Pelodiscus sinensis: one gene and its partners. The protein of the gene in region 4 interacts with the protein of the main gene of each other region in a pairwise test. Links are inferred from orthologs where the notes say so. Each region holds a gene or a part of one and is shown on either strand. Other genes may lie near its edges. The genes, in order: MAB21L3, ZCCHC10, C2H1orf35 and STAC3.

The links.
Region 1: the proteins of STAC3 (region 4) and MAB21L3 interact in binary tests that used the Homo sapiens proteins (3 or more experiments, as listed by UniProt). The two-hybrid records come from large-scale screens. The link is inferred for Pelodiscus sinensis from reciprocal best matches to the Homo sapiens genes STAC3 and MAB21L3.
Region 2: the proteins of STAC3 (region 4) and ZCCHC10 interact in binary tests that used the Homo sapiens proteins (3 or more experiments, as listed by UniProt). The two-hybrid records come from large-scale screens. The link is inferred for Pelodiscus sinensis from reciprocal best matches to the Homo sapiens genes STAC3 and ZCCHC10.
Region 3: the proteins of STAC3 (region 4) and C2H1orf35 interact in binary tests that used the Homo sapiens proteins (3 or more experiments, as listed by UniProt). The two-hybrid records come from large-scale screens. The link is inferred for Pelodiscus sinensis from reciprocal best matches to the Homo sapiens genes STAC3 and C1orf35.

What each region holds. Positions count from the first base shown.
Region 1 is NC_134711.1:143,470,983-143,478,728, forward strand, and holds the start of MAB21L3 (protein mab-21-like 3), read right to left. Parts: upstream 3,011-7,746; 5' UTR 2,886-3,010; intron 477-2,885; exon of another isoform or gene 346-476; intron 1-345.
Region 2 is NC_134727.1:24,430,356-24,438,322, forward strand, and holds the start of ZCCHC10 (zinc finger CCHC domain-containing protein 10), read left to right. Parts: upstream 1-4,957; 5' UTR 4,958-5,067; coding exon 5,068-5,225; intron 5,226-5,841; exon of another isoform or gene 5,842-6,585; coding exon of another isoform or gene 6,586-6,596; intron 6,597-7,967.
Region 3 is NC_134712.1:252,797,949-252,805,795, forward strand, and holds the start of C2H1orf35 (multiple myeloma tumor-associated protein 2), read left to right. Parts: upstream 1-4,832; 5' UTR 4,833-4,977; intron 4,978-5,923; exon of another isoform or gene 5,924-6,361; intron 6,362-7,791; 5' UTR 7,792-7,847.
Region 4 is NC_134729.1:3,046,068-3,053,781, forward strand, and holds the start of STAC3 (SH3 and cysteine-rich domain-containing protein 3), read left to right. Parts: upstream 1-4,705; 5' UTR 4,706-4,892; intron 4,893-6,143; 5' UTR 6,144-6,144; coding exon 6,145-6,210; intron 6,211-7,038; coding exon 7,039-7,294; intron 7,295-7,667; coding exon 7,668-7,714. Other genes in the region: R3HDM2 (R3H domain-containing protein 2), read left to right, coding at 689-773, 2,274-2,620. UniProt on the Homo sapiens protein: Required for normal excitation-contraction coupling in skeletal muscle and for normal muscle contraction in response to membrane depolarization. Required for normal Ca(2+) release from the sarcplasmic reticulum, which ultimately leads to muscle contraction.

The DNA of each region.
Region 1 (7,746 bases), on a different chromosome or scaffold from region 4:
GGAGTTAGGGATCCCCTGTGATACTGTGCCGAGTAACGGCCTCCAGCAGTGATCAACTGCTCTTCAAACGGCTTTTCACACAGGCTGCCCTGGGATAAGAACCGTTTACGTGGGCAAAAAATTCTGTGCATTTTACTTTGTCTTTAAAAAAAAAAAAACCAAAATCACCCCCGGTGAGGTCACAGGGGCTGTTTCAGTAACAGTGACGGGCAGAGGAAGGCGGCTGGGAGCGAGTGCTGCTAATTCCATGTGACAGCACCGAAGTCACGCGAGCGGCTGCCCCCTCCCGCCACCCCACCTATTTCCTGCCCCCAGGCGCCTGCCTGCCCCACCCCTCCCCCTTACCAGGGAGCCATGGGCCACTCGGGGCCTCGCTCAGATTGGGTGCGGCATGATGATGTCATCAGAAGGTGCCTACACCAGTGCCCCCCCCCTCCCCCCCTTACTGGTGCCCTTTGCTGCTCAAGGTGCGGAACGGCCTCCCCACCCACCGTGGGGATTGGCCCTTGCTTGAGTCAGTCACCTGCTAAGTCAACCTGGCCAGGAGGAGGGAACCCTCCTCTAATTGGCTGCCTGGCCCACTGCCCCACCTCCTGGGAGAGAGTAGCCAATCAGAGCTGCTGCCAGAGGCAGCTAGCGTTCTCCCCCATCCATCAGGGCAGGCGATAGGGTTGCCAGCCTCCCCCCTCCCATGATTGTCTTGGAGTCTCCAGGAATGAAAGATTATGTCACGTGATGAAACCTCCAGGAAAAAATCCAACCAAAATTGGGAACCCTCGGCTGGGGGTGGAGGGAGACAGGAGCCACAAGAGCCCAGCAGCTTAGTGTGTTTCTGCTGCTCCCTCCTATAATGAAGGGCCTGTCTGCTGCTGCCTAAACTATGGTTAGGGCCATCACTGGCCGGTGGCCGGTATTTTTATGGACTTGCCAGTTGCCAGAAAAATAATTTAATCTGATGGGTTCTTTGTTTCACCTGGCTTTAAAGATTTGCATACGCATCACAGTGCACTGGGATAGCTAATGGTAAAACTTCTTGTGTCCAGCTAAAGATGCTGCAGTGTTTCCACTTCCACTGTTTAAGCAACAACGCATTAAAACGGAGCCATGTAGTCTAGACACACCCTAACTGTGCTTCCTCCTAACACCAGGCTTGGAAACGGAGAGACCTCCACTACAGCTGCCTCCAGTCCCCTGGGGCCTGGGAGAGGGAGTGCAGAGCTGTTGGAGCTTCAGAAAGAATTGATCTGAGGGCTGGAGGAGCAGGCAGAAGTATGACTGGTAGGATGTATGAAATTAATAGTGGGGCTTTGGGGGAGACACAGAATTAACTAATTACAGGCGACCCCGAGACTTACGATCTAATTGGTTCCTGGAGAAGCATTGTAAATCGAACCCTTATTTCCCATAGGCTCAATGTTATAAATGGGGGTTCTGTTCCTGGCCTGCTTTGCCTCCTGGGAGTTGTAGTCCCCAGCACGTGGGGCTTGAGAGGCCATGCTGGGCTGGAGCAGGGCAGTCACTAGGGACAGGCCATGCAAATGTCCCAGGCCCACAGTGGCACTGATCAGGGCCCGGGGCAAGGCTCTGGCCTTGCCAGGCAACAGTTCAGATGCTGCCCGCTGTGCCTCCTGGGAGTTGTATTTCCCAACACGCCGGGCTTGAATGGCCCCACTGGCTGCAGCGGAGTGGTCATAAATGCAGGGGGTTGTAAGTTGGGTGGTCGTAAGTTGGGGATCACCTGTAGTCTGTTGGGGCATGGGAAGAAGCTGACACCTGTGCTCCATCAACAGCCACAACAGCTCCTGCAGCAGGGCCAGAAATGCCTCATTCTGTACAGCCAGGCAACACCGTGAGAGTGCAACCCACAGGGTGTTGGAAAGACAAGGCGGGTGAGGTAATGTCCTATGTTGCGTTTGGAAGGGGAAGTCGAACTGTGAAAGACAGGCCAAAAATACTACATAAAGGTTCAAAGTGTTATGATCTGGGGGGCCCAATCTCACCATTTTGAACTTTTGGGAGATAGCAAGCCCAGCACCTGCTCCAGCCAAAACTGCACCAGGTGGCCAGGGACAATATAGAGCATGGGACAAGACTCAACATGTCCAAAAGCCCTGCCCCGGCACTGAGCTGGGAGGCTCACAACATTACTTTTCACACTAGAAGCGCAGTTTGGCAGTGCCTAGTATTACTTCCCTAGAGGCCCAGTCTCCATGCAGAGGGAAAGCAGCCTCCTAACCAATCATCAAGATCTTTTCCTGGAGCAACTTGGCTTTTGGTTACAGCTTACAAAGCATTGCCAGTGCTCATGATATTTGGTGTGCCCCAGCTGTTGAAATCAAGTGATTACAAGAGAATCTCAGCTTTATTTTAAGGTTTTTAGTTCTCATAGGGCATAGCTTCACAGCTCAAGACTAGCTCCATTTGTGTCCACACACTAATTGTGCTACCCTAGGGCTCAGACCCAGTGTCCTAAGACCCTAAGGAGCTGGTCTGAGCCTGTGTTAAACTGAGACCTATTGCTTTCTGGTGTGCACATGGGCCTGACTTGACTCAGGTCCTGGCAGTCCTCCAAATGTATCCCAGAGTACCCAGATGCAGCTAAGCTGTACTACAGGCTGGAAGTGCTGTTGTTGTATGGCTGAACACTCTGCCAATTCTTGCCCTTCTGGTGGCTGCATGTCTGGCTCCAATTCCTCCTAATTGCTGTGTGGATAGGGTCACCCTCTTTCAAGTTCCTGCCCAAGGGACACTGCCAGAGGAAAAGGGAGCTAGAAGGCTGGCACCGTTTCTACTGTACAGTTTCTTTTCACCTTGACTATTGAACGTATTTATAAATAACAAGTGTAATAGCCTTAAAAATAAATGTAAATCACATTGAAATGTACCTTTGTCCTTTCCTCCTGCGCCTCCTTCCTGTTGTGCCCATACACATTGAAGAGGGGATCTTTCTCAGCAGTGGTTGATTGCTCATCAAATAGCCACAAAAAAGCCTGGGCAAGATGCATGCCTGAAGTTGTACTGTACAAGCAGGATGTCATTCAGTGACGCACCAGTCAACACTCTGCCACCCTGACTCTGCGCTGCTCCCTGCAGTGGCCCTGTCTTCAGAGCTGGGCGGCCAGCCAGCAGTCACCATGCTCCAACTGCTCTGTTCCAAAGGCCGCACCGCTAGCGACAGCAGTAGAGAAGTCAGGCTGGCAAGTGAGTGACTGTGTACACTGCTGCTAAGGCCTGGCCAGAATTGCATTTCTACCAGAGTTGATGTTGGGAAAAGGACAGGCGAGGAAAAGTGATGGACTTTGGTTCATATTTCAAAAACGGAAATGGGAAGATCGAAAAAGAAGAAAGGAGGGGGCGGGATAATGTCCAGGACAACCTGGTTGTATGGTGACCCTATGTGTGGAGTTTGTCTGGAGCAGGGAACAAAGCTGATAGGCAAGAGTGTCATCCCTCCCTCAGCCATGCTGAGCTAGGAGCCCCCATCCCTGCAAGGCAGCTGCTTGGTCCTGCTCTGCTCTCTTCTCTCAGGCCCTCCTGGGGCTGCACATACAGGGGCACCAGGGCACCATGCATATGAGGGCAGAGAATGATAACTATAGCCCCAAAACTTCCCACAACTTCCCAGGGAGCCCTTATCCCTGCTTCCCAAGGTGCAACAGGGGCAAGGATTAGGAGTCCCAGGGGTGTTGGAGCACACTTCACCCCCAAGCCCTGGGGATGCATTTCACCACTGTGTAGCTGGCAGCAGCCAGGCTGGGGTGTGCCTGTGTGTTTTTGCTGATACCTTCATTTTATCTCACACTTCAAAACAAACAAAAACAAATAAAAACCAGCCGGTCAAACACACCTGCACTGAACAGCCCCATTTAGAAATGAAGAACTGCAGAGTTTCATTGTAATCGTTTGGCAGCCCTGGAGACTGACGTGCGAATTCTCCTCCGAGCAGGTGCACGTGGGCGTTGCCCTGCCAACATGAGACAGCCTAGAAGTGGGGATCCCAATTCTCAGGTAACGCAAACTGTCTATCATTCCAGCGAGAGAGCCCTCCGAGGAACTAATTGTACAGCATATGTACTTGTGTGCTCCCTACGGGTACAAACAGCACCACCACAGGTAGGAAACAGGGTGGGCAGTAGTTCTCCCACGATGCACTAAGATTAGAGTATTGACATGTGTTTGCGTGTGTGTGTGTGTGTGTCAGGGATGTGTCTAGGCACTTTGGCATATATTTACTTTAATTTGGGTCTGTGCACTACAGTGTGGATGTCAGAACTGTGGGGTCAAATTGGGACCAGAAAATTCTTAAAATTCTGGGGCTAAAATGCAAGGTAGATGCCCAAGCCTAGGGTTCCTTGACACAGGATGTTACCAGAGGCTGTTGTGAAGACTAGGACTTCAACAGCATTTAAAAAAACACTAGATAAATTCAGGGAGGTTAGGTCCATCAATACTTATTAGCCAGGATGAGCAGGAATGGTGTCCCAAGCCTCTGTCTGTCAGAAGCTAGAAATGGATGACAGGGGCAGGATCATGTGATGATTGCCTGTTCTGTTCACTTCCTCTGGGGTATCTGGTATGGGCCACTGTCGGCGGACAGGCTACTGGGCTAGATGAACCTTTGTTCTGACCCAGTATAGCCATTCTTATGTTTTTATGTAGGTCAGCTGTGTTCCACTAATCCTAGGCTTACACTGCTGTGCAGACATATCCATAGTGTCAGAGACAAGCTTGAAAACATGAATCCTAAAAGCTCAAAAAATGAAGCAAATTAACTCCTCCTTTCATACTTCTAACACTCTCATTATTTTTGAACTAGCCAATTAGCCCGTCATAAGATGGGATTTTCAGGTCTCTCCTCCACATCAGTCTTCTCTCCTGAGCCTCCGGTTTCTCACTCCATGTCTCTTTCTCTCTACTCCTCCTACTGCCTCTCCCCCTCTCTCTCAGCTCTCCTCCACTTTCTGCCTCTCTCCCCATCTCTCTCTTTCTCTTCTCCCCCTCCTGCCTCTCACTCTCTCTCCACTCTCCTCTGTCTCTGTCGGGGATGCATGCTCATCCAGGCCCCGCCCCATGGGCGGGTACATCATTGCCCCGCTCCACTTCGCCTCTCGCCGTGGTGCTCAGCTGACTTCTGTGCTGCTCAGTCGGGCCGCCGCATGGGAGCAAGCGATTCAAACGGCCTCTCTCTCTCTCTTCTTCTCCTACTGCCTTGCCCCCTCTCTCTCTCAGCTCTCATCCACCTCCTGCCTCTCTCTCTTTCTCTTCTCTCCCTCCTGCCTCTCACTCTGTGTTTTTCTTCTCCTGCTGCGTCTCTCTCTCTCTCTCATGCTGTCCTCCACCTCCTCCATTCTCCTCTCTGTCTCCTCCACATCCTCTGTATCTGCTCCGCTTTCCTCCTTTTAAACCCGACGCCCTTTCCTGACGTCAGAGACACATGCTCATCCAGGCCCCGCCCCTTGGCTGTTCCCTCAGGGCGGTGCTGTTGCCTCCCACCGTGGTGCTCAGCTGACTTCTGCGCTGCACCCCCGTGCTGCATGGGGAGCGTGGACCCCAAACGGCTGCTTGCGCCACTTGCTCCTGCGTGGCGGCCTGGCTGAGTGGCACAGAAGTCAGCTGGCAACAGCGCCGCCCAGAGGGAACAGCCAGCATTTCAGCGTTACAGTGTCACAGACATTGGGCTACTATATATATGATGCTTGCAATTGTCAATATATAGTATTCTATCCACATGTTGTCCAGACCAAACTTCATGGCTTAGAGCTTAGTGGAACACCACCTCAGGTAGCCCAGGATGCAGTAGTTTTATAGGTAATCAATTTATACCCATTTGTACTGGATAATAATACATCTGAACACCTTTGGTTTAAGAAAAATTAGGTGAGTTCTTGAATGACTGCAACAGAACGCGCCAAGCAGAGCAGAGTTACATGGAGTGTTCTGCCCTTAATCATCAGGGAATTACCATTGGCAGCTCCTCTTTCCTCCTGGCTATTGCAACATTCAAGGACAAGCAAGAGGGTTAAGCAGACACCAGCAAGAAGCCCAACCGATGGTCTCTAACTGGTTGTGATGAGGCATGTTTGCACCCTACACATTTCAGCTTAATGGCAAATCACACAAACAACTGCTTCAAGCAGGATTTTGTCAGGATTTCCTTCTGTAGGAAATGTCAAGGGCTATTGCCCCAAAGGAATAATAGCGAGAGCAGAGATGTGTGGCAGATGTTCACTGGGGCTTGATGTGTGCTAGTTAATATTCATTTAATATTTGCAAAGTAATTGGATCATGAGACTTGGGAGGCAGGCACAAAGAGATGTGTGTCTAGGGTCACATGCATTGAGAAATATTGAGTTTTCTGCAACTAAGCTAGGCTTTTAGAGTAAATCTTATTATAGTGGATTATTATTCATCTGAAATATATAGGCAATTTACAGATGAGGCTCCTTCCCTGAATAGCTTGCAACCAAACTAGACAATGTTTAGATATGAACAGACATACATGTCAAGTTTCATGGAGCTCCATTGCTAACATGTCATGCAAATTATGTAATGAGTGAGTTTGCATAACTATAGACTTCAATTTATAGTTGTTACTTGCTACTCTAGCTGCGACAGGGTAAATCATGGAGTTGTACAAACTTTGAAAATGATGGCTGGGGTTGCTGGGTGAGTGTTTAAGGGTGCTGAAGCAAGATTGGAGATGCCTGAGGTTATCAGGCTAGGAATATAGATGTGGAAGATTCTCCAGTATTGTGAATAAATGGATAACTAGGAATTATCTGGAATGGGTGAGGAGTACTAGATGCTAGCTGAGGCTTTGGAGTTTTACTGGGGGCCTAATGCCTGAGGACTTTAATAGGGTTCAAACAAGAGCTTGATAGATTCATGGAGGTAAGGTTCATCAATGGCTATTAGCCAGGATGGGTAGGAATGGTGTCCCTAGCTTCTGTTTGTCTGGAAATGGGTGACAGGGGAGGGATCCCATGAGGATTACCTGTTGTGTTCCCTCCCTCTGGGGATCTGGCATTGGCCACTGTTGGAAGACAGGATACTGGGCTAGATGGACTTTTGATTTGTTCCAGTACAGCCAGTCTTATGTTTTTTTGATTAATTGGGTACTACCAAGGCCTCTGACCTTTTGTCCCTGCCTGCCAATCACCTGGTTCTGCTGATGGTACTTTTTGTTTCTCCCAATTGATCCTTTCCTGTACTGAGCCAGCTGGAGGAAATAGTGAGAATGGTGGCAGAGACCATCTACACAGTAAGCACCATAGTGGCTCCCTACAGGTGGGGACAAAATCAATTGCTACCCCCTGATTGCAGCCCAGCTTGATGGATGAGCTATGGGAATGTGTGACAGGGGTGCTGAATTTGAGTGGCATGACTTAGCAGCCCTGGACAGAGCATAGAAAGCAAACCCAGCACAGTGACTGAGGGGCTCAGAACTCCTGATTCTGTATAAATTTTTCCCCCCCATGTGATTTGTTAACATTGCTTTGAGAGGACGTGGGGCAGGTTTACACTTCAAATGCTGCAGTAGTGCTTCACCAAATACAGTACTTTGCTGACAGAAGAGCTTTTCCCGTTAGTGTAGTTAACCCATGTTAGCAAGAGATGGTGGCTGTGTCGAGGGGAGATACCGTCCTCTTTACGTGGCTCTATCTACAGCAGGGCTTAGGCCAATATAACTGCATTGCTTAGGTGTGTGGAGTCAGTACCCCAATATAGGTCTAAAGTGTAGACATA
Region 2 (7,967 bases), on a different chromosome or scaffold from region 4:
TAGCTATTTTCTGCAATATCCTGGACAAACAAGTAGGTTTTCCAGGAAATATCTAGGGGAAGGTATATGCAAATACAACCCCACTGATAATGTTAAAAAACAGCCTTTTGAAGCTACAACCTGAGGAGAACCACATTATCTATAAATTACCTATTCCCATTTCAAAGACTCAAGCTGAATAAAGGAGGGACTAAACTTTTCATGAGTGTGTTTGTTCTGTGCTGTTACAAACTTGTGACCATAGAGAAGCCCCTTGGTGTAGTTGAAAGACTGTTCACATGCCGGTGCCTTTGTTGGAGATGAGTGAGTAAGGTTACTAGCATGTGTCTTGGTTCCCTTAGGGTGCGTCTAGACTGGCAAGATTTTGCGCAAAAGCAACTGCTTTTGTGCAAAAACTTGCCAGCTGTCTACACTGGCCACTTGAATTTTTGCAAGAGCACTGACTTTGTAATGTACAAAATCAGTGCTTCTTGCGCAAATACTTTCACGCTCCCACTCGGGAAAAAGCCCTCTTGTGCAAGAATACTTGCACAAGAGGGCCAGTGTAGACAGGAAAGAACTGTTTTGCGCAAAAAAGCCCCGATGGCTAAAATGACGATTGGGGCTTTCTTACGCAAAATTGCATCTAGACTGGCCACGGATGCTTTTGTGCAAAAGCACTTTTTGCGCAAAAGCATCTGTGCCAATCTAGACGCGCTTTTGCAGAAATACTTTTAACGGAAAAACTTTTCCGTTAAAAGTATTTTCGCAAATCATACCAGTCTAGACGCAGGCTTATTGTTTTTCATATGTTTTCTCAGTCTCATATGTTTTCCTATGTTTTCTCTGCTTTCAGCTTCAGAATAAATGTACTTGATTAGAAAGAGCTTGATTATTTCGAACGCCCATTTCACTGCCGCTTGTAGACGCGGGCAGTTATTCCGGGCTTATCAATTTCAAAGATGGCACCCGGCCAAGAACATGCAAATCAAGCACGGGATATTTAGATTCTGGGCTTGATTTGCAATCCCAAATGCCTACATTTGCAGCCCTATTTCGAATTAGGCTGCAAGTGTAGACATACCCGAAGAGTCCATCACTTCTTCCACTTCCCAACCTGATCCCACAGAAAGAAAGAAACCTATTTTCTTCCTTGCTCCCAGCCCCACAATCCAACACTGCCAAAAGCTCCACTGTCCTATTGTGTTCTTCAGGCTTATAATTTCTTTGTTGCATGAGCCTCTTCTCTACCATTTATATTCTATCTGGTGGTGACCAGGGCTGGCCTTACTATGAGGCAGTCGCCTCTGGTGCCAAACTATGGGAGGGAGCCACTAGGACCCAGAGTGTAGAAAATTGTATCTGCTGCTGTTTCATATGTATTCTCTCCGCTCTAGATGCACAGAGATGGTGGAGTGCTGTGCTGGAGGAAGGAGGGCAAAAGAGACATAACAGGCATGCAGGAGAAATGGGGGCGTCATTTGAGCTCCCTGCCTCAGGTGCAAGAATGTTGTGGGTTGGTCCTGGTGGTGACTTTTGGAAAATGAATTTGGTAGATGTCAGTTCAAATCCTAGGGGCAGACATTTCTGACACTAATGTCACCATCACACTTGGAACTAGTATAGGGCAGTCTTTACAAAGGAGATATGGTCAATGTCTATGGGGATTTAACCACTCTTTCACCTTTAGACTTGGTCCATTGCAGGACTATGTGTACTCTTGCTTCCCAGACTGTTCTAGTTCTGTGATAAACAGAAAACTCTAGTCTCAGTACCATTAATCTGATATCTTGCTTTCATGAGGAATATATATGCTGGAAAAATATGGAGGGGAAGAATGTTAAATCTTTGAATAGGACCACAACAAGATATTTGCCTATTCCTTTTGATGAAGTGCCATGGAGAAGCCCAAGATTTCTGAACAGTATTAGATAAAAGTGGTTAAGAGCTAGCAGCAGACACAACTGATAAATTATTGACTGTTACAAAGGTACGTTTTCATCTATCTTGTTTTAAGAAAGTGTTAGTAACTCTGTCCTGGAATCAAAAGTTCTTCCTTACTTTCACCATCAGAAGATAGATTCAGGCTAAACACCAGGTACTGGCAGTAAATTCAGAAAACAAGAGTTAAATGCCACAAAAGAGAATTACAAGTGGCATCGCAGATACTGGAGGTCAGAAATTTTAAAAAATGCCAGAGTCAGATGTGAGTAGTCACAGATTAACACAAGGTATCACCCAAAGGGAGACAGGGATTAGAAGCCAGATAAAGCCCCATATAGTATGACACGTGACGCATAGGGCAACAGCAACCAGGCATTAGACATTACAATTGAAATGTTTAGAACTTGGAACTGCCATTAGATTCAGGAATGAGTCATACAATTAACTCTGATGAGCTGGAAATGTTTATCTAACAAAACTTTTTATTAACTTATCTGCTATAGGCAACATTTAATTGGTTGCCACTGCATCAAGAGGGTCCTATTATTAATAAAATACACATTGTATGTCTGCTGCTGGCATAGGTGAGGACTCCATTCTTTGTGGGCCCTTTAGAGTGTGCAAAAAACCTGCCTTGTAATTAATCAGAATTATATTTATTTACAATCAATTATAACATTAATTATACAGGTAAATGTGGCTTATTGAAATGGTATATACCCATTCTTTGGAGAGATCATTTATTTACTATATTATGGACCCATAAATCCTGGCTCCATATTTGATGCAGGGTTTAAGCTTTTTGTTTGAAGTAGGGTACTATTCTTTCTGTTATGGCGAGATATAAAGGCTGGGCCTGATAAAAATCAACACACACATACACATTTAGGGGGGAGATAGCATTTTTTGGGAAAGTTACAAGTAAACACTTTGAACATTAGGACTCCCAATTAGTTAAATGACTCCTTTTTTAAATTTGAGGACTGTCTGGTGTATCCTTGGATCTTCCTTGTTCAAAGCCAAACTGTCTCTGCAGAGACAAACTTTCAACATTTAAATTTCCTTGTCAGTTTGTATACAGGCTAGTATGCAATTATTCTGAACTATGTGAGGAAACAATTATAAATTGTACGGTTACAGTCAAGTATCTGCCTATAGTTTAAACAATTTTTAATTGGCAGCACTTGAATCAGAGGTACTTCAACCAATAATCACTCTTCTTCCCCACCTCATTTGTATACTGCAATTCTATTGGTTGAAATGAACTGATAGAGGGAAGAACTTGTATGAGTGTCAAGAGTTCGTATTGGTAGATTTCATCTGCACACAAACCAAAGGAACACTGGATTGGCTCAGAGTTGAGGTGCATTCATCTAGTAGTTGTATATATTTAAAAATATAAACAACCTAAGAAAACCCAGCAATCCACAGGAAGGGTACACTTCATTGTGCAAAATATAGCATGTGAGTATGTGTGAAATGTGTTATATACATTTATACTGACAGTGTCTCTAGAGCCTAACAAAAACACAAAGTGGTAACACTTTGCCTAGTATCATACAGGAACTCTTAGGCCAAGCCATGTATGGAGTCAGTACAAGCACTGGGAAACAAGACCAGTTGTTATCCCTTTTGAATGGGCAGTTATCCTAGGGTTTCCAACTCTCTCGGAGAGGATGAACTGGATGCCATTACTACAAATGGCATCTAGTCTGTCCACTCAGGAGAGTTTTCAACCCTAAGTTATCCAAGAATTTGGGTCTTATTCAATTGGGAGGAGAAGTTGGTGATGGAATCGGGTGTGTGTATGATATAATCCAATCTATTTACAAAGTCCTGTTTCCTTGCACAAAGTGGAAGTCAAATAAAGGAGAGTGTCCTGGCTTAACTATCCAAGCTACTTTTTCTAGTCAGCACTTTGCCCCAAAGTGCTTTGTCATTGTTTTCCATGGGGCCATGTTCTCAGTGCTTTTTCTGACTGTGTCCATAGCACAAAGCAAGTCATATAAACCCAACTTTGTATAGGTAGTCACTAATTGCTCCTTATTTTCTGGGTACCCAACTGCAGACCCCTGGGTCTGATACACAGAAGTGCAAAGCACTCACATATGCATGTGAAATCAATGGGAGTTCTGCTTTTAACATACAAAGTTCTATATATTGCTAAGTACTTTGAAAAAATTGGGCATCTCAAATAGGGCCTAAATTATTGACCTATTGACCTTAGTCTCTGGTCCCTATTTGTAAATTGGGCATACCTTGCTTGAACCTCACAGGAGCTTTGTGAAGATAAAGAAACTGGTGTTTGTGAAGCACCTGGATGCTATAGTGATGAGCACCATAGAGGAAGCCCATAAGGAAACTAATAATCTCTGTCTTCAATGTGCCCTGTGACTACAGATCCTGACACACAAGGGTCCGTCTTGATTTGAAAAAGAACCTGATTTATAATATTTTCATAGAAGTCATTACCTGTAATTTATGTTGTACTTAGTCTGCAGAAACCCCACAGAGAAACTGATAAAATTACAGGCTTAACATTGCTCAAGGTAAACATTGGACAGGTAAACAATGCATTATACTTTTTTCAACATCAAGCGTGTTGGGATAATTGTTTGTCTTCAACTAATATTTAATGTAGAGGGCCAGGAAAGCGCCTTCATTTGTGATTATAATAGTCCTACAGCCCATAAGAAGGAGAAAGAACATAAGAATGACCATACTGGGTCAAACCAAAGGTCCATCCAGCCCAGTATCTGCGGCCAGTGAGAACACAAAAGTCACTTTATGCAGGACAGAGAAACAAGTCAAATCCATCAGTGTGAGGCTGAGAAGCATGAATAGACCAGCACAAGTCCAAAACAAGGTAGCAGCTGGTGCCTACGCATCTGTATACAAAACAAGGTAGCAGCTGGTGCCTACGCATCTCCCCAGGTCAGTGGGGAAGGGCACGGGAGAGAGTTTCACGTGGCCCAGGGAAGGGGCAGAAGCCTGGGAAGCAGGAGAGCGCGCTGGAGGACCAGCAAAGAGCCAGCCACCGGAGCTTCCGCTTCGCAGGAAGCTGCCCCGCCCGGAGAAGTAGAGACGAAGTGGAGGACGGGCCCCAAAGCGCGTCTTCTCTAGCCGCCCGAAGCCTGGCTCTTTATGGTAGACAGCGGCCGGCTTCTCCCGCAATGGGGAAGGCGGAGAAGGGCGGAATTGCCCGGCATGCAGCGCGGCGGGCCCTTCTCTGCTCGCCTCACTTCCCGGCCAGGGGCTAAGATGGCGACTCCCATGCACCGACTCATCGCTCGGCGGCAGGCGTGAGTGCGCCGGGCTAAGGGAGCGTCCCCGGAGACAGCGGCTCCCCGAGGGGCAGCCCGGGAGAAGCGGCGTCCAGCGGGCACGGGAGAGGGGGGCTGTCTTGGCGGGGAAGCCGCAGGGACGTGGGCTCTCCTGGGAGGGGAGCCGCGGGGGTCGCTGCGGCCCGTGTATGGGGAGGTCTCGCTGCCTTCACCCGTCCCGGAGAGCGTGCGGGTTGGGTGTGGAGCCAGCCCTGCGGGGGGCAGGTAGCGGCGGCTGGCCGGGCTCGCGGCGTTTGCCAGAGGAGCGCTGGTACAGGCGGCGAAGGGCAGTAAATGATGCGCGGCGTGTGTACAGGACCCCTCGTCTCCGCAGCCTCTGACGCGCAGCCCCACGGTTAAAGGGCTGTAGCGTGCGAGCAGATGGTTCTTGTTTGAAAGCGAAGCGATGCATCTGTCTGGGAGGAAGCTCTTCCCTGTCTAGCCCAACGCAAACTCTAGTCACCCTGCGCTCACCGCGAACTGGGGCAGGCCTGCTGCTCGCTGGTTTCTGAAAACAGATTCTGTATTGCAGTATGGAAGATTAAGTTGAGCATGGTACGGAGCTTCTGCAACAGGCCATTGCAGGAATAATAGAAATTTTTTACATATCGGCGTGAGATAGCTAAGTACCATTAGTTTATATATCAGAAACTTGATAAACAAAGAGGTTGCATGGCATTGGGTTTTTGTCCCTCTTCAGAAGTTGAGGATATTTTTTTTTTTTTTTTTTACACCAGAATTTGAGGTCTTGAGTGTCCAGACTAGGGTGATGGAAGAAGTAGCAAATGGATGGTATTTGTAATAATCAAGAATGAAAGCTGAATGAGAGGGGAAGGATGTCTTAGTCAAGGCTTGCCTACAGTGGCAAGTTACTGCAATGTAATTTTCTGCTTAGGGATGTGAACTCCGCCCTCCCCCCACCACACGCACCAAGTTACAGTGCTGTAAAGTACCAGTGTGGATAGTGCTGCCCTGCTTTCAGCACTATTAGCGTCTCCCTTCTTTGAGGTAGTTTACTTAAAGTGCTGAACAAGTGTTCTCCTAGCACTTTTGCTGTGACTGCACTGTGTTAAAACAGTTAAAGTGAAGACAAACTCTGATTGTTTAAAACTCCAATTTTGAATAATTAACATTAATGTCTAATCAGTCATGCATTCTTTTCACAAATTGTTAATGGTTCTACACCCAAACCCGTCAGTGAAGGTGTAAGATGTCACAATACACCTATCTGAGGGAATGTCTACACCTAAAAGTAGACAAAACAAAAATTGTTCACAGTTGCTCCCTGTTTTGACAGATCAAGTCCACATTGGGGACACCATCATCGACACTGTGAGCAATGCGCTGTGGGTATGTATCCCACAGTGCAGTGTTGTGGGAAGGCAGAGCTGAACCCTGCACACCTTGTGATTCTTTTAGTTCTCTCAGCATCCTCAGCTGATGGGGCATCATCACGAGTAGCTCTGTTTCAGTGGTGAGAGTGGAAGGGCAGATAGGTGTGGCCCTCTCCTCCCACTTTTGCAGTGGGCAGCACCGCTGAGTTTGATCTGAGCATTAGTCTCCAGGGCAACTGCTGCCTTCAGTCCAACCAGCCTCGTGTGTCAGAATTCCTCCTATCCCTGCCCTGCTTAGCACTGCCTTGGATCCCAGCCCTGCCAGGAGCCCTTGGTTTCCTCAGGCTTCCTACCTTATTGATTGATTACTCTCCATGCTGAGGAATGCTGCCTCTTTCCCCATGCAGCAGCAGTCTGCCTGATGCTGTCTTCCTATTGCAGGGCAGAACAGGAGCATTCCAATGATTTATTCTTTGTTCCCCAAACTGAATAGCTCACTGAGCTGTCAGATACTTCCCAGAGCTTTCAAAGGGGAGGCGTGCATGCCTACAAGACAGCAGAGAACAAAACACTGAACAGAGCCATCAGGGGAGGCATTGTGGGATATTGGCGGGAGCCAGTTCTATCCTGGACAAAACACACAGTAGAATCTATGTTGCCTCTTAGTATTTCTTTGTACCAGGAAAAAAGAAAAAGGTCTCTCATTGAGTGAAAGTTTTTTGATGCTGAAACTAGGTATTTTTCCCCAGTAAAAGTTGTGTGAATGTTCTCGCTGTTGTCTCTCTAAAAGGCAATTTTTAGTGATAAAACTTTGTAGTGTAGATGTATCCTGAGAGACTCATGAGGTCCCCAAGTAGGAAAAACACAGAACGTTCTAAAGTTTAAAAACAGGAAGGGCAGAAAAAATCATTTCAGGTCTCTTTTACTCACACATCTATAGTAGTGCTCACAAAAAAAGGACAAGCCTACATTTTTCTTTTTAAATTGTTCAGGTCATCTTAAAGTAACTTGACCAAAGTAGGGATGTTAAATAACATAAATGAATAGTCAATTAACCTCATGAATTCTTACTGGTTACTCGACTATTCTGTAGTCCGCAAGGTGGGGCTGGCAGTGTGTGCTCTGGCCTCGTTCCCAGGGAGTCCCTTGCCACTCTGCTCTGCTGCCTCTGTATCAGCATAGAGTACCAGGTGAGAGTTGGTCCATGAGGGGAACCAGTTTAAAAACCAGCTCCCCTCATGGACTGGTTGCCTGTTGGCCCACACTGTTGCCTATGATACAGAGGCAGCAGCATGGGGTTCCAGCAGCCCCTGTCTAAGGGGTCTGAGCTCCTGAACCCAGCACAAGCCGGAACTGAGCCGGGCTGCCTGCCCGCCTGGCTCCTAAT
Region 3 (7,847 bases), on a different chromosome or scaffold from region 4:
TTTTGTTTCAGCTACATTATTTAGGGATGTGAAAAATTTTGCACCCTGTGCACAGAGTGACTGCTTCCCCTGTGTAGGTACAGCTACTGGCTCCTAGAGAAATGGATTGCCAACATCAATAAAAGATCTTTTCCCATTGATGTAGGGTGTCCTTATACTACAACAGCCTGCAATACTTCTATGGCACTCGTTATTATATTATCTGAGCACTGCACAGTCTTTTGTATATTTAGCCTCCCAACACCCCATGCAGTGGTGGTGTCATTTTACAGAGCAGGAACAGAGGCTAAGTAACTTTCCTAACTCTGTCATAGAGCAGAGACTTAAATGCAGTTGTCCCTAGTCCTAGGCTTGCGTCCTACCCTCTTACCATTCTACCTCTAACTGTCCTATCTGCTGAGATTACCAGAAAAGGGGACCAGCTCTTGTCTCTGTACCCATTAAGATTTTGTGATGAGGAATAAGTCTACTGGGAGCTGGATTGAGTCTCCCACCACCAATGCCTTTCACACCCTGAGCAGCCAGATAGTATAAGCTTTTGCAGGAAGGCCAACATGCTTCTCACCTCAGTTTTAAAGACTTTGTACATTGAGTGTAAATGAGTCACTGCAGGACTCAAGTTAACATTCAGGGGTAGTTACAGTTTTCACGGTAGTTTGAAGGAAGCAGTATTGAGGCTGTTTGGGTGTTTGAAGTGATTGCTTAAGATGTAGGCCTTCTGTGTGAGATGGCGTCCAAATCAGGTTTTGCTGTAATCTTACATTTAGATAGACTTAGAGCCTTTCTTCCCACAAAATCCCAAAGCACGTGACAAGTGATGAGAATCACTTGATCCACTGCAAAATGTGGCCACCTCAGGAGAACATGTCAGCTGTTTTCCCCCAGGCACAGGAACACAAGGGAACAGATTAAAGCAGGCAGTGTAGATCAGCATCCTAATCAGTGGAAGCTGCAGAAAAGCTAGACAAGGCTGCATGTGATTTCAGGTGCTGAAATCTGAGCAGGAGAGTGCAGTGAACAGCTCATACTTACAGAACATATCAGGGATCCTTCCATGACCAAGGGCTTCCATGTTCAGTATTTAATCAGACTTGAAGAAAATAATGTTGGCCCAGTCTGATAATTAGCCTTCTCTTGGAAAGAGAGAAGGACCCACAGTTTTCATTGACTTCAATGACAGCTGAAAAAACCCAGTAGTTTACAGAATCCGTATGCCCAAAGGATGTGTGGTGTACCAAGAGATGGACCTCAGCAACATTTGTCAGAAGCATAAATGGGTACAACGTAGTAAAGATCAAGTTCTGAGAGTATGTGGGTAGGGAGGGCTAGGACTCATAGCTGGAAGATGGAACTTAAATAATTTTGATGGGCAAAATAAGAGCTGACTTCAGGACTCCCAAACCAGTGTTTAGATTAGAGAGAGATCTCCTCCTATCCAGCCCACAAAAACATACAGCAATTATACAGTTCTGCAGACAAGCAGCAAAACTAAAATTGACGGGGAGCGAGCTATGCTGCATCTGCAACAATCCATCTTATGATTTTCACGCTGTAGCCCTTGCTCAACTATTTCCTTCTACCTTCCTTCCTTAGTTGCTACTCCTCATGTTCTGACTGTCTACACTGAGGTGGTGACCAAGCAAAAGCTTACACCCATGTGTAACTTTACTCATGTGAGTAGTCTCATTGATTGCAAAGGGGCTGAGTAAAGTGAAAGATATGTGTGCTTGCAGGACAGACTAAGGTCTATGGGAGTGCTTTGATCTGTAAGAGATCCTGGTGCTTTGTCCACATATTCATTCTGCTGATACCATTATTGGACCTAACCAAGTGAGTTATAAGATCAAGAACACATATTCCTGCGCATCCAGAAATATAATCTATGCTATCATGTGCCGAAAGTGTCCATCTGCTATGTACATTGGACAAACATCTCAGACACTTCGCCAAAGGATTAATGCCCACAAAACAGATATCAGACAAGATCACAAAGAAAAAACAGTTTCTTGCCATTTTAACCAGAAAGGACACTCTCTCAGTGACTTAACCACCTGCATTCTGCTACAAAGACCTTTTACATCTGCACTTGAAAGGGAATCCTCTGAACTGTCATTCATGTTAAAATTCGACACTCTCCAAAAAGGAATGAACAAACACTTGAACTATCTTACCCATTATCAAGATAGCTTCCCCAATTATCACCTCTAATACCATTAACTCACAAACATCCCACTCTCCCCACCTCTAATATCAATTCACAGACACTTACCTTCCTTCCTCCCCCCTCCCCCTGCATTCCCCTTCTGTTCTGAAATGTGATTTGTCCTTTTCATATGTGTTCACTTTTTTTAATTGTATCCTTTGGTATATATGGTTGTGACTATTTTCTTCCACTATTTGATCTGAGGAAGTGGGTCTGGCCCACGAAAGCTCATCATCTAATAAACCATCTTGTTAGTCTTTAAAGTGCTACATTGTCCTGCATTTTGCTTCAGCTACCCCAGACTAACACGGCTACATTTCTATCACTATGGTGCTAAATGATATGCATGTGGTATGTGCCTGTGGATGCATGAAGGCCATCAGTGCACTAAGCCAAAGATCTAATTATCTCAGTCAAGAAACAGACCTTACATTCCTTCAGGATGGCATTTAATGTAAATAGGCTGCAAACTCTGAGATAAAGGGGCTATTTTAAGACCAGCCAAGATACCCAAGCTGGGTCACTTTGACATGTAACCCTTTGGCTTCCTTGTAACTTTCATGAGTGATTTTTAAATGTGTGTGTGTGTGCTTGTTGCCTCAGTTTCCTTCTCAGTAAAATGGAAACTGAGTTACTGACCTCCTGTGCGAAGGGCTTTGAGAGCTATGGATGGCAAGTGCTCTATAAAACAACATTTTTATTAACAACCAATCTCAAAATGTTTTACAAACCCTAAGACATGAAGTCTTATAACAGCCCTCCCCTGCCCATCTCTATGTGTGTGTCTCTTTTTCACATACACACCCCTTGGCTATGTCTACATAGGCATGATTTTGCACCAGAGATATGCAAATGAGGCTAAGCATGGAAAAACAGTTTCTTGCCATTTTAACCAGAAAGGACACTCTCTCAGTGACTTAACCACCTGCATTCTGCTACAAAGACCTTTTACATCTGCACTTGAAAGGGAATCCTCTGAACTGTCATTCATGTTAAAATTCGACACTCTCCAAAAAGGAATGAACAAACACTTGAACTATCTTACCCATTATCAAGATAGCTTCCCCAATTATCACCTCTAATACCATTAACTCACAAACATCCCACTCTCCCCACCTCTAATATCAATTCACAGACACTTACCTTCCTTCCTCCCCCCTCCCCCTGCATTCCCCTTCTGTTCTGAAATGTGATTTGTCCTTTTCATATGTGTTCACTTTTTTTAATTGTATCCTTTGGTATATATGGTTGTGACTATTTTCTTCCACTATTTGATCTGAGGAAGTGGGTCTGGCCCACGAAAGCTCATCATCTAATAAACCATCTTGTTAGTCTTTAAAGTGCTACATTGTCCAGGCTTCATGAACTGGGCTTGTTTAGTTTGGAAAAAAGAAGATTAAGGGGGGACATGATAGCGGTTTTCAAATATCTAAAAGGGTGTCACAAGGAGGAAGGCGAAAATTTGTTCCTCTTGGTTTCTGAGGACAGGACAAGGAGTAATGGGCTTAAAGTGCAGCAGGGGAGGTTTAGATTGGACATTAGGAAAAAATTCCTAACTGTCAGGGTGGTCAAATATTGGAATAAATTGCCAAGGGAGGTGGTGGAATCTCCCTCTCTGGAGATATTTAAGAACAGGTTAGATAGACATCTGTCAGGGATGGTGTAGACGGAGCTTGATCCTGCCTTGAGGGCGGGGGGCTGGACTCGATGACCTCTCGAGGTCCCTTCCAGTCCTATTATTCTATGATTCTATGATTCTATGAATATCTCCGGGCCTCATTTGCATATCTAATGAGCTGCCATTTTTGTGGAAGAGGCTCTTGAGCCAGAAGGAGCTGTCTACACTGCCCCTTCTTGCGCAAGAAAAACCCTCTTGCGCAATGCCGCTACGCTGATTATTTTCAGGAATAACGGCATCGCGCAAGAGGGTTTTTCTTGCGCAAGAAGGGGCAGTGTAGAAATTCCTTCTGGCGCAAGAGCCTCTTCTGCAAAAATGGCGGCTCATTAGATATGCAAATGAGGCTCGGCAATATTCCACACTTAGCCTCATTTGCATATCTCTGGTGCAAGATCACGCCAGTGTAGACGTAGCCTTTAGCTACGTCTACATTGATATGATTTTGCGCAAGAACTCTTTTGTGGAAGAGTTCTTGTGCAAAAACTCTTCCAGAAGAGAGCATCTACACTGGCATGTGCTTTTGCGCAAGAGATGTGTTTTTGTGCAAGAGCATCCGTACCAGTGTAGCCGCTCTCTTGTGCAAGAAAGCTCCAATGGCCATTTTAACCACAGGGCTTTCTTGCGCAAGAAATTCATGTTGCCTGGCTACACTGCCCTCTTGTGCAAGAACAGTTGCGCAAAAGGGCTTATTCCTGAGCGGGAGCATCATAGTCCTTGCGCAAGAAGCCCTGAGTTCACGCATTAGACCGTCAGTGTTCTCGGCCAGGACTCCCCGCCAGTGTCGACAGGCAGCAAGCTTTGGCACGAAAGCGGCTGCTTTTGCACAAAATCATGCCAATGTAGACACAGCCCAGGTGTCTCTCACACAGTGTGTTGCAGGCACTGGTACAGACACAGAAGCCCTGTCACTCACACACACACACAGAGTTGCTGCTGCGTGTACGTCTGCGCGTCCCCTCCCCTCCCCGCGCGGCGCCACTTGGTACAGCCCATGCTCCCCCGGCTGCCCCTCGCGGTGGCGGCTCCCGCGCACGGGGCTGACGCTGCCGGAAGCGGCTGGGCAGGGGGCTGCTCGGGGAGAGCCCGCGCGCCGCAGGTATCCCGGCGGGGGGAGCGCGCGCAGCCGGCAGGGACAGTGCGCGTGCAGCCGGGGGGCGCAGGGACAGTGCGCGTGCACGGGGGGGGGCGCAGGGACAGTGCGCGTGCAGCCGGGGGGGGGGCGCAGGGACAGTGCGCGTGCAGCCGGGGGGGGCGCAGGGACAGTGCGCGTGCACGGGGGGGGGGCGCAGGGACAGTGCGCGTGCAGCCGGGGGGGGGGCGCAGGGACAGTGCGCGTGCAGCCGGGGGGGGGGCGCAGGGACAGTGCGCGTGCAGCCGGGGGGGGGGGCGCAGGGACAGTGCGCGTGCAGCCGGGGGGGGGGGCGCAGGGACAGTGCGTGCACGGGGGGGGCGCAGGGACAGTGCGCGTGCAGCCGGGGGGGGGGGGGCGCAGGGACAGTGCGCGTGCAGCCGGGGGGGGGGCGCAGGGACAGTGCGCGCAGCCGGGGGGGGGGAACAGGGACAGTGCGCGTGCAGCCGGGGGGGGGGGCGCAGGGACAGTGCGCGCAGCCGGGGCGTGGGGTGGGAGGGCAGGGACAATGCGCACAGCGATGGGGGGAGGGGGGGCAGACACAGCGTGCGCAGCCGGGGGGGGGGGGGGAACAGGGACAGTGCGTGGACAGTGGGGGGGGGCTCAGGGACAGGGCGCGTGCAGCCGGGGGGGGAACAGGGACAGTGCGTGGACAGTGAGGGGGGGCACAGGGACAGTGCGCGCAGCCGGGGTGTGGGGTGGGAGGGCAGGGACAGTGCACACAGCGATGGGTGGGGGGCAGAGACAGCGTGCGCAGCCTGGGGGGGAACAGGGACAGTGCGTGGACAGTGAGGGGGGCGCAGGGACAGTGCGCGTGCAGCTGGGGGGGGCAGGGACAGTGCGCGCAGCCGGGGCGTGGGGTGGGAGGGCAGGGACAGTGTGCACAGCGATGGGGGGGGGGGGCAGAGACAGCGTGCGCGGCCGGGGTCAGGGACAGTGTGTATGTCGGGCCCGAAAGCCACAGGCCCACCCTATGTATCCCGTGTGAAATGGAAACTGCTCCAGGCCAGGGGGTCCCTAGCAACCCTCCCCCCACTTCCAGCCCCCATGGGAGGGGAGGGGAGCCTGCCTTAGAGCCAGGCAGCTGTGGGCCTGGCACCATTGACTCGCTTCCTCTCCGCCTGCTGGCACTGGACTCGTGTGCGGCGCCAGCCCTGCGGAAAGGCCCACGAGAGGGGAGATGTGGGTTACTGTCACTGGAGGAACGCCGAGAGCTAGGAAATGCAAAGGAAGGAATGATTTAGAGCCAGGCTTCTGCACACCTTTCCCTGGGCATGTTGATTGGGAGGGAGGCTTCTGGGCTGGTCACTGCATGAAGAGAGAGAGAAAACCTAGAGGAACTCCCCAGTCAGTGAGTTTTGTTCCTTATGACTGTGGGGAAAGCAGGTTGTGTTGCTCCCGTCTCTCGTGAGGTCTTTGCTGAGGGGAACTCCTGTTTCCAGGAGTCTGCAAAGCATCTTGTGTGTGGTCATGGTGCAGTATAAAAATACCCATATTTGTACATGCTAAAATGGGGGTTAATTACGTCCCACAGTTCAGGGCACAAGCTGATTGCCATGAGGGTCAGGAAGAGCGTCTCTTCTCCCTACACAGCTGCGAAAAATCTGTCAAGGGCGCTGTGGGTGTTTTGCCTCCCTCTAGAGCAGCGGTTCCCAACCTTTTCCAGATGGGGACCCATTTTGACAATTCAGGAAGACTTGGTGACCCAGGGCAATTCAAAAAATGTGTGAATAGCTCCTTAAGAGCCACCTGGGGAGACACCTGGCCACCCTTGTGAAATGTAATGGTGACCCATATGTTGGGAAATCCTGCTCTAGAGCCCTGTGAGGCCTATGTCAGGATGCTGCCTCCACAGAACCGAGGGTCTGCCCAGGTGCACAGCTCCTGCATTCTGCTAGATGTGACCTGCTTCCTCTCATGCTCCTCCTGCTTCTGGATAGCTTGCAAAGGGCATAGATGGCTGAAGGAAGTTTTTCTTCACTCAGCGCACAGTCAACCTGTAGAACTCCTTGCCACAGGATGTTGTGAAGATTAGGACTTTAACAGGGTTAAAAAAAGAGCTAGATAGATTCATGGAGGTTAGGTCCATCAATGGCGATGAGCCAGGATGGGTAGGAATGATGTCCCTAGCCGCTGTCTGGAAATGGGTGACAGGAGAGGGATTAACATGAGGATTACTTGTTGTGTTCCCTCCCTCTGGGGCACCTGGCATTGGCCACTGTCGGCAGACAGGACACTGGGCTAAGTGGACCTTTGGTCTGACCCAGTCTGGCCGCTCTGATGTAAGGAGTCTGCCCTGGGGCACCTACTCTGAGAGACAGCCTTGCTCTTCTGTACGGCTGGGACAAGGCCACCTAGCACTCTGCGTGGCCAGTGAGATGGGTTCAGCTTTCTGCCAGTGTAAACCCAGGGGCTGAGGAAGGTCATGATGACAGAAAACAGCTTTAGCCTCTCCAACCCTGGGCCAATAAGTGGGGGTGCCCATGGGAGGTGCTCTCATTTTATCCCCGTGGAACCCCAGCCAGCCAGAAGCTGCCTCGGGGTGAATCCCCACAGAGGTATTGGTCGGAGTGGGCCGGCACAGGAAGGTGCCATTCACAGCACCCCGGGTCAGCTGCAGGAATTCATGCCGATTCTAGCAGTCAACGTCCCTCTCTTAGCGACTTTGAACATTTTCCCCCTCCATCACGATGCAGGCCTGTTGTAAGCCAGTTGGCTGTGGGGTGTGATCTGTAACCTTTGGGATGATCTTGTTGTATGTTCTATTTCTTGACGACTCAGGGCAGAGAGCTGAGCATCCCGTGGTGATCGATTTCGTTTCCAACGCAGCCGACTGT
Region 4 (7,714 bases):
GATGGGAGCCTGGGCTGGACCCGCCACTGCTCTGCCCCCGCCGGGCCGTTCCTCGGCTCTGCCACATCCCCTTGCTCCGGCCCGGCGCCGCGGGGGAACGGCCGACGTCCCTGCACGGCTCCGCAATCGCGTGGAAATAAACCTCCCTGAATCTCCGTCTTAAAGCCAAAGGGCCTGCGGCTTCGCGCCCCGGTGGGGTGTTGCTGGAGTTGCCTTGGGGAAAGGAACAAGCTTTGAAGTGGCAGAATTTCTCATCTCCCCACGAGCCTCCCCCCTTCCTGCTCCAGCCAGCGGGTCCCTGCCGTCTTTGCCCCTCAGAAGGAAGCTAAATGTGGTGGGGGGAGCCCCGATTTCCTCTCCCCCCCCCCCCCACCAGGCAAAAGTTACAATGGAGGGTGGGTCCGTTGCAGCCGCAGGCCCTGATGGGTGCAGAGTGGCGCCCCACGGGCTGCAGGATCAGGGCCCACGCCGAGTGCCCGGCTGCCGGTCTCAGTCCCGCTGAGGTCCTGTCCCCAGCCAGGCGTCAGCTCCGAGCGTCCTGCAGCCTCTCCCCGAGGCACAGGGGGCCTGGCACGGCAGCGTGGGGGGGAGCCAGGCTCACCGTGGTGTGCTGAGCGGGAGGGCCGGGCATCCCAGCTCCGCAGGGCCGGGGCCTTCTCCGGGTGAGTGTCTGGCTTTGCTCTTCCAGGGCCAGACCGGGATGAAGCACGGAAACCGGAGCAAGAGACAAGCCCTCAAGTCCGCGTCCACCGACCTCGGCACAAGCGACGTAGGCAAGTGGCCACAGGCCTCGGGGGCTGCTCCCGCCCGGCGGCCCAGGCTGGAAATCCCCGATCCTGGCCACGACCCGCTGGGGTCTAGAGCAGAGAGACCCGTGGCCTGCGGAAGTGCTGCCCTTGGAGGGCATCTGCAGTGTCAGCAGAGCCCCCCTGTGCCCTGCCTGCCCCGTGCCGAGCGAAGATACGGCTGCGGCGGGCGGGAGCGTGTGCCGGGACACGCACACTGCCCAGTGCTTAAAGGGAGGGGAAGAATCGACGTGTGGGTTCTATCCCCTCCTCTGGGGGCAGAGGCACCTACTGGCTAAGGCGGCTGGGAGCCAGGACGCCTGGATTCTGTTCCCAGCTCAGGGAGGGCAGGGGAGTCTAGTGGTTAGAGCAGAGCTGTCGCTGGCTTGCTGGGAGCCCTCTGCCCCTCCCTGCTGGATCCCAGCGGCTGCCTCCGCCCGCTGCCCGAGGGCTGGCAGGGGTTGAAGTGCCCATGGGCCTGTAGGGTGGTTGCTCAGTGCCCCCCGGGAGCAGAGTCAGCACTTGCTGACAGGGGGGCCAGGCTGCAAGGCAGATGCCTGCCCCACCCCCAGACAGCTGCAGCAGTGACGCCAGGGCCCCTTTAAACCCCCCGCCCTCCCGCCCCGGGCAGTGGAAACAGAGCAGGGAGGGGCTGGGGATCTGTTACAGGCTGGTTTAATATTAGCTCAGAATTTGGTCTGCTGGGGCCCTGGGACGGCTGCTCACGCTGCCTGGCGCACGGAGCCCCAGCCGCGGCCAGGACAGGCTCCGGGCCCTGACAGCTGCAGCCTGCGGGCGCGGCCCGGGTACCGCCCGGCTCAGCTCCGTTCTCAGCCGGGTCTAACTGAAGCCCTGCGCTGGGCATTGGCTCCCCTGCCCTCTCGGGAGCCGGGTTTGCCCTGAGCCGGAGGGGCTGGGGCTGCCTGGCTGTCCGCAAAGGCCCCGTGCTACAGCCAGGTGCCCCGGCGGAGCCCCAAGTGCTCAGCCCCTCGTGCCCACTTCCCCAGGCTGGCGGGACGCTTCCCCCTCGACAGCCAGCTGGCCTCCTGCGCCTGGAGGGGACTGGCCTGGGGGCGCCAGGGGGCCTTGGGGGCTGATCACTTCCCCCTTGACAGCCAGCTGTCTGCCTGCGCCTGGAGGGGACTGGCCTGGGGGCGCCAGGGGGCCTTGGGGGCTGATCACTTCCCCCTTGACAGCCAGCTGTCTGCCTGCGCCTGGTGGGGACTGGCCTGGGGGCGCCAGGGCCTTGCATTACACAGCCCCTGCTGGGGAAGGGGGTGACCTGGGAGTGCACCAGGACTTCCCGCCTCCCACCCCTGGGACTTGACCAATTCATCCAAGCAGGGACTGAGGGCCCCCTTCCAGAGCCGGGAGTAGAACCCAGGAGTCCTGGCTCCTAGCCCCCTGCTCCAACCGATAGGCGCCACTCCCCTCCCCCATGCTAACCACTAGTCCTCCCAGCCGCTGACCCGGCCTTGTCTCCCGCAGTGCTGGGCCGGGTGCTGGAGGTGACGGACCTGCCGGAGGGCATCACGCGCACGGAGGCCGACAAGCTCTTCACTCAGCTCGCCATGGCCGGGGCCAAGATCCAGTGGCTGAAGGAGACGCGGGGACGGCGCGGCGCCGGGGGCGGCGCCGGCGACAACAACGGCCCGGCGGAGAACGGCCGCCACCCGGACCTCGCTGCCTTGTACACCGTGGTGGCCGTCTTCCCCAGCCCGCTGGCCGCCCAGAACGCCTCGCTGCGCCTCAACAACTCCCTCAGCCGCTTCCGGCTGCGCGTGGCCAAGAGAAGCTACGACCTGCGCGTGCTGGAGCGGGCCAGCTCCCAGTAGGGGCCCCCCCGGCCCCGCCCCCCCGCCCGCCCCGCGCCCGGCCCCTATTTATATGGACACAATGAAGAGATGAGAAATTGATCATTATTTTTTTTTGGAGTGGAAGAACATTTCCTCCCCCCCCCCCCCCCCGGGAACGCGCCCCCACTGCCCCCCCGGACACAGGTTGCGCTGGGTCCAGCGTTGTGCCGCGGCGGGCGCTGCGCTCACTTGCACATGCAGCGGTTGGCAGGGGCTGGTCTCTGTACAGTCTATTTAATCCAGAGGGAGCGGGGGGGTTGGGTTTGTTTTTAAATATAAAAAAAAAAAATCATCTTGTCACTTTCAAGCGGCTTCCCATTTCTGTGCCCAGCGCGAGGGGTTACCGACAGACCCCCCCCCCCCCCGCAGCTCTGGGACTCCTCCCTCCCTCTCTCCCCCCTCCCCGCAGGGCAAGCCCCCCCCACTGTACCCCTCCTGGGGTATCACCAAGGGACGTGCCCCCATCACCAGTGAGCAGGCCAAGCCGCTGCCCTGAATGGCTGTCAGGGTTGTGACCCTCAGCTTGAGAGCCCCTGGGCCCCAGCCTGGCTTCCCTCACTGCGGAAGAGGCACAGGGCCCAGCCTGGGCCTGTGCGGGGCCCGGGCTGGGCAGAACGCTGGGAGCCGAGGTGCACCAGGGAGGTAAGAGCCGTCTGCAGGGGGCGAATCACTCACCTCAGGGCTGGCGCGTGTGGGCAGCAGAGCCGGGAGTGGACCCGGGGCTCAGCAGGACGGGGCGTCCCTTGGAGGGGGCAACCAACTCATCCGAAAGGGGTCACGCCCTTAGGGGTGGGGGCGTCCTCCGTGTGTCTTCGGAGGGGGCGTCTGTGCCAGGCCCCCGCTCTGCTCTGGTCGGGGCACCACACGCCGGTCCCAGCGCGGGGGCTCCGTGCCCGGCCTAAGGATGTTACAGATCACGTCATTGACAAATCGAATAGTCGATGCATTTTGGCATCGACTATTCAATTATTCGAGAGGGCGGCGCCGCCCCTTTGTATGCCACAGCGGCGTTTCGAAGGGGCAGCGCCACACGGAGCAGCTGATCCCGGGCTCCGTGCGGCGCCGCCCCTTTGTATGCCACAGCGGCGTTTCGAAGGGGCAGCGCCACACGGAGCAGCTGATCCCGGGCTCCGTGCGGCGCCGCCCCTTTGTATGCCACAGCGGCGTTTCGAAGGGGCAGCGCCACACGGAGCAGCTGATCCCGGGCTCCGTGCGGCGCCGCCCCTTTGTATGCCACAGCGGCGTTTCGAAGGGGCAGCGCCACACGGAGCAGCTGATCCCGGGCTCCGTGCGGCGCTGCCCCTTTGAAGTCCCCCCCCTTCCTCCCCCTTTGCTACCTCCCTAGCTCCCTGCTGTGATGTGACGTAGCCCAGGCGGGACCCAGTGACCGTGGAGCGCAGCCTGTCCTAGAGCCGTGCCCTGGGCGTTCAGCCCCTGGCTCCCTGTCGGCCGGCACAGAGGCGAGGAGCCGCCGAGCCCCTTGGGAACGGCCCTGGGCGTGTTTGGAGACACGTGTCCTGCTCCCCAAGGGCTCCGGCGCCCGGCGGCGGAGTGGGGCCTGGAGCCTGCCACCCGGCAGCGGCCCCGGTCCCTGAGCACCCGGCGTTCGCCACAGGCAGGGGCACCCGGCGGCAGCAGGGACGGGGTGAGAGCCCCCAGGGACAAGGGCTGGTGGCAGCTCGAGGCCCCTGAGAGCCGCCCCCCATCAGAGCCTGCACAGGGAGGGGCTCCGGCCTGCCCCGCACGCACTGCATTGTGGGTATCGTCTGCAGCCCCAGGGGCTGAGTGCAAGCGAGAGCAGCCCCAAGGCGGCTCAGGCCCTGCGTGGGGGGGGGCGAGCGCCGAGGGGCTCCCCCCAGCCTGCCAGAGCCCCGTGTCTGCAGGGAGCCAAAGGCCGCAGGCTCACCCTGTCCCTGGTGACCGGGCCGTGGGAACCAACCCCCCCCCCCGTCCCACCTGGGGCTGGGCTGGCTGCCTTAGGCCGCGTCCACCGGCCCCACCGGGCAAGCAGCCAGCAGCTCCTGCCGGCCAGGCCGGCTCGTGTGCAAGCTCCGATTTCTCAGCGTCAGCCTCCCCGATGGGGCTCAGCTGTTCGCTCCCCTCTCGCCCTGTCAGTCCGTCTCCAGCCGCGCGCCCCGTGCAGCCCGGTGCTGGCTCGGCCGAGGGGCTCTGAGCCGGGGCCCGTCTCTGTGGGGCACTGAGCGGCTTTCGGGGAGGATTTATCCAGCGGGAGGGAGCCCGAAGCTCAGAGGTGAGTCTTACACACGCGTGTGCACCCACCCGCACTCGCCACACGCGTGTGCACCCACCCGCACTCGCCACACGCGTGTGCACCCACACACCTCTTGCTGGGTTTCTCCTCTGTCCACTGCTGCCCACCTGTCTCAGATGCCCCCTTCCCTTCCACATTGGGGCAAGGGGGCTGGCCAGCAGCCAGGATGCCCAAAGGCTCCCCCTCTCCCCGCCTTTGCTATTACTAGTGGCCTGCCCTTGCTGCCACACACACACACACACACACACACACACCCTGCTGCGACTGGCCCCCCCGCGCACACACCCTCCTGTGACTCCCCCCTCCACACACACACACACCCCCTCCTGTGACTGGCCCCCCCGCGCACACACCCTCCTGCAACCCCCCCACACACACACACCCCCTCCTGCGACTGGCCCTCCCGCGCACACACCCTCCTGCAACCCCCCCCACACACACACACCCTCCTGCGACTGGCCCCCCCGCGCACACACCCTCCTGCAACCCCCCCCCACACACACACCCTCCTGCGACTGGCCCCCCCGCGCACACACCCTCCTGTGACTCCCCCCTCCCCACACACACACACACACACCCTCCTGCAACTGGCCCCCCCCGCGCACACACCCTCCTGCAACCCCCCCCCCACACACACGCCCTCCTGTGACTGGCCCCCCCGCGCACACGCCCTCCTGTGACTGGCCCCCCCGCGCACATACACACACGCCCTCCTGTGACTGCCCCCCTGTGCACACACCCTCTTGCAACTGCCCCCCCTCTCCCCCCACACACACACGCCCTCCTGGGACTGGCCCACACGCGCACAGACCCCCTCCCGCGTCTGACACACACAGCAGGGGTAACACACCCCTGCGAGCTGGGGGGTGAGGGGCTCGTCGGACGCCAGGACTTACGCCAGTGTTCCTGGGCCGGGCGTGCGGGGGGCTGTGGGCGAGGTGCCACCAGGCACAGCAGAAAGGGGGCGACCAGGAGGTTGGGGGCCTGGTGCTGTCTCCTCTTGGGGGTGCCCGGCCCTTGCCAGTCCCCGGGCGGGTTGCTCATCGCACAAGCCTGGCACCATGGGCAGGCCCCAGGACTCCTGTGCCCGTGGATCCCTGAGCAGGGCCCAGCTGGCGCTGCCGTGGGGCAGGGGGTGCGGTGCTCGCTCATCCTGCGGCATTGTCACTTGGCTGCCGGTTAGTGGGGGTGGCTGGGGAGCCCCCGTGACCCCTCTGCTCCCCCTTGCAGCATGACGGAGAAGGAGGCGCTGGCGCCGCCGGCCTCACCCGCACCGGGAGGGAAGCCAGGGAGCGGGGTAAGTGCGCCCACAGGATCGGCCCCGGAGCCTGCCCTGTCCCCCTGCGACGGCTGCCGGATGGGGGGATGTGGCTCCCAGTGGCTGAGACCCCCCCAACGGTTTGAGATTCAGTCTGGGCTCCCCCCGCCCCAGATCGAGGGGCGCTGGCTGGGCCGGGGGTGGCTGGTGGGGCAGCCAGGCTGAGTCCCAGCGCACCCCACGTTCCCAGCCCCAGGCCAGCGCCGGGGCCTTCGATCCGATGAGTTGGGGGTGTCGGGGTTCACTCCCTGCTGGAGCAGGGCCCCACGGGGGTGAGGGGCTGAGCCCTCCCCCAGGCCGGGCAGCGCCAATTCCCTGGGGGGCCGCTGGCCCCTGCCCTTTGCTGGAGGAGGGGTAGGGTGGGGACCGGCTCATCATGCTCCTGGGCTTGGGAGCCCCACTGCTCTGTGCCCCCTGCCGCGCCGCCGCGCCCACCCCCTGCAGGGCTCTGCCCCGGCACTGAGAACTTAGCGAGGGGGTGGAGCCAGCTGGGGGTGCAGACGTGGGCAGCCAAGGCAGCTCTAGCCCCCCCCCAGAGGCCTGGGAGTGCGGAGCCCAGAGGGGCCAGGGCCCCGTCTGGGTTCCTACCACCCTCCTGGGGCAGTGGCCTCCCCACCCCGGCAGTGCCAGCCTGCAGGGCGAACGCCCGGCCCGGTGCCCTGGGGGGGTGGACTCCTGGGCTCTTTGCCCAGTGGCTGCTTCTGACTCCCCACGGAACCCTGGGGCAAGCCCCCGTCCCTGCCCGTGCCTCGGTTTCCCCCGGGGAGGGCTGTGGGTGTCTCCCAGGTGCCCGGTGTCTCCCCCCAGCTCGGGGCGCTGAAGCGGCTGCTGCAGCGGAAGCCCAAGGAGGAGCCGGCGCCCGAGCCGCAGCCCAACGGGGAGCTGGTCAGCCCCACGGGGGGGCCCATCTACTACATCTACGAGGAGGAAGAGGAGGAGGAGGAGGAGGAGCCGGAGCCGCCCCCGGAGCCCCAGAAGCCCGTCAACGACAAGCCCCACAAGTTCAAGGATCATTACTTCAAAAAGCCCAAGTTCTGCGACGTCTGCGCCCGCATGATCGTCCGTGAGTGGGGGGGGGGCAGCGTGGCTGAGGTGTGGGACGGCCCAGGAGCAGGGTCGGGCCCAGGCCGGGACTTGGCCCCCCCGGCACCTTTGCCAGTCCGGGGGGCAGTAACGGGCCCCTGCTGCCTGGCTGGGGGGGGCTGGAGGGGCCTGGCAGAGGCCCCCCCTCATGGAGACATCGGCTCCCAGGGGCTCTGTCACGGGGGGTACCGCCCCGCCTTTGCTGCTCCAAAGGCCCCGTACCAGCCCTGAACCCGGTCCCCATCCAGGCCCCACCCGCACCCCTGAGCTGTGACCCCTGGATGGGGGGGTCTCTAGCCGAGCAGGTTCCAGGGCTGGGACGTTTCATCGATTCTTCCTCCCCTCCCCCCCAGTCAACAACAAATTCGGCCTGCGGTGCAAGAACTGCAAAACCAACATC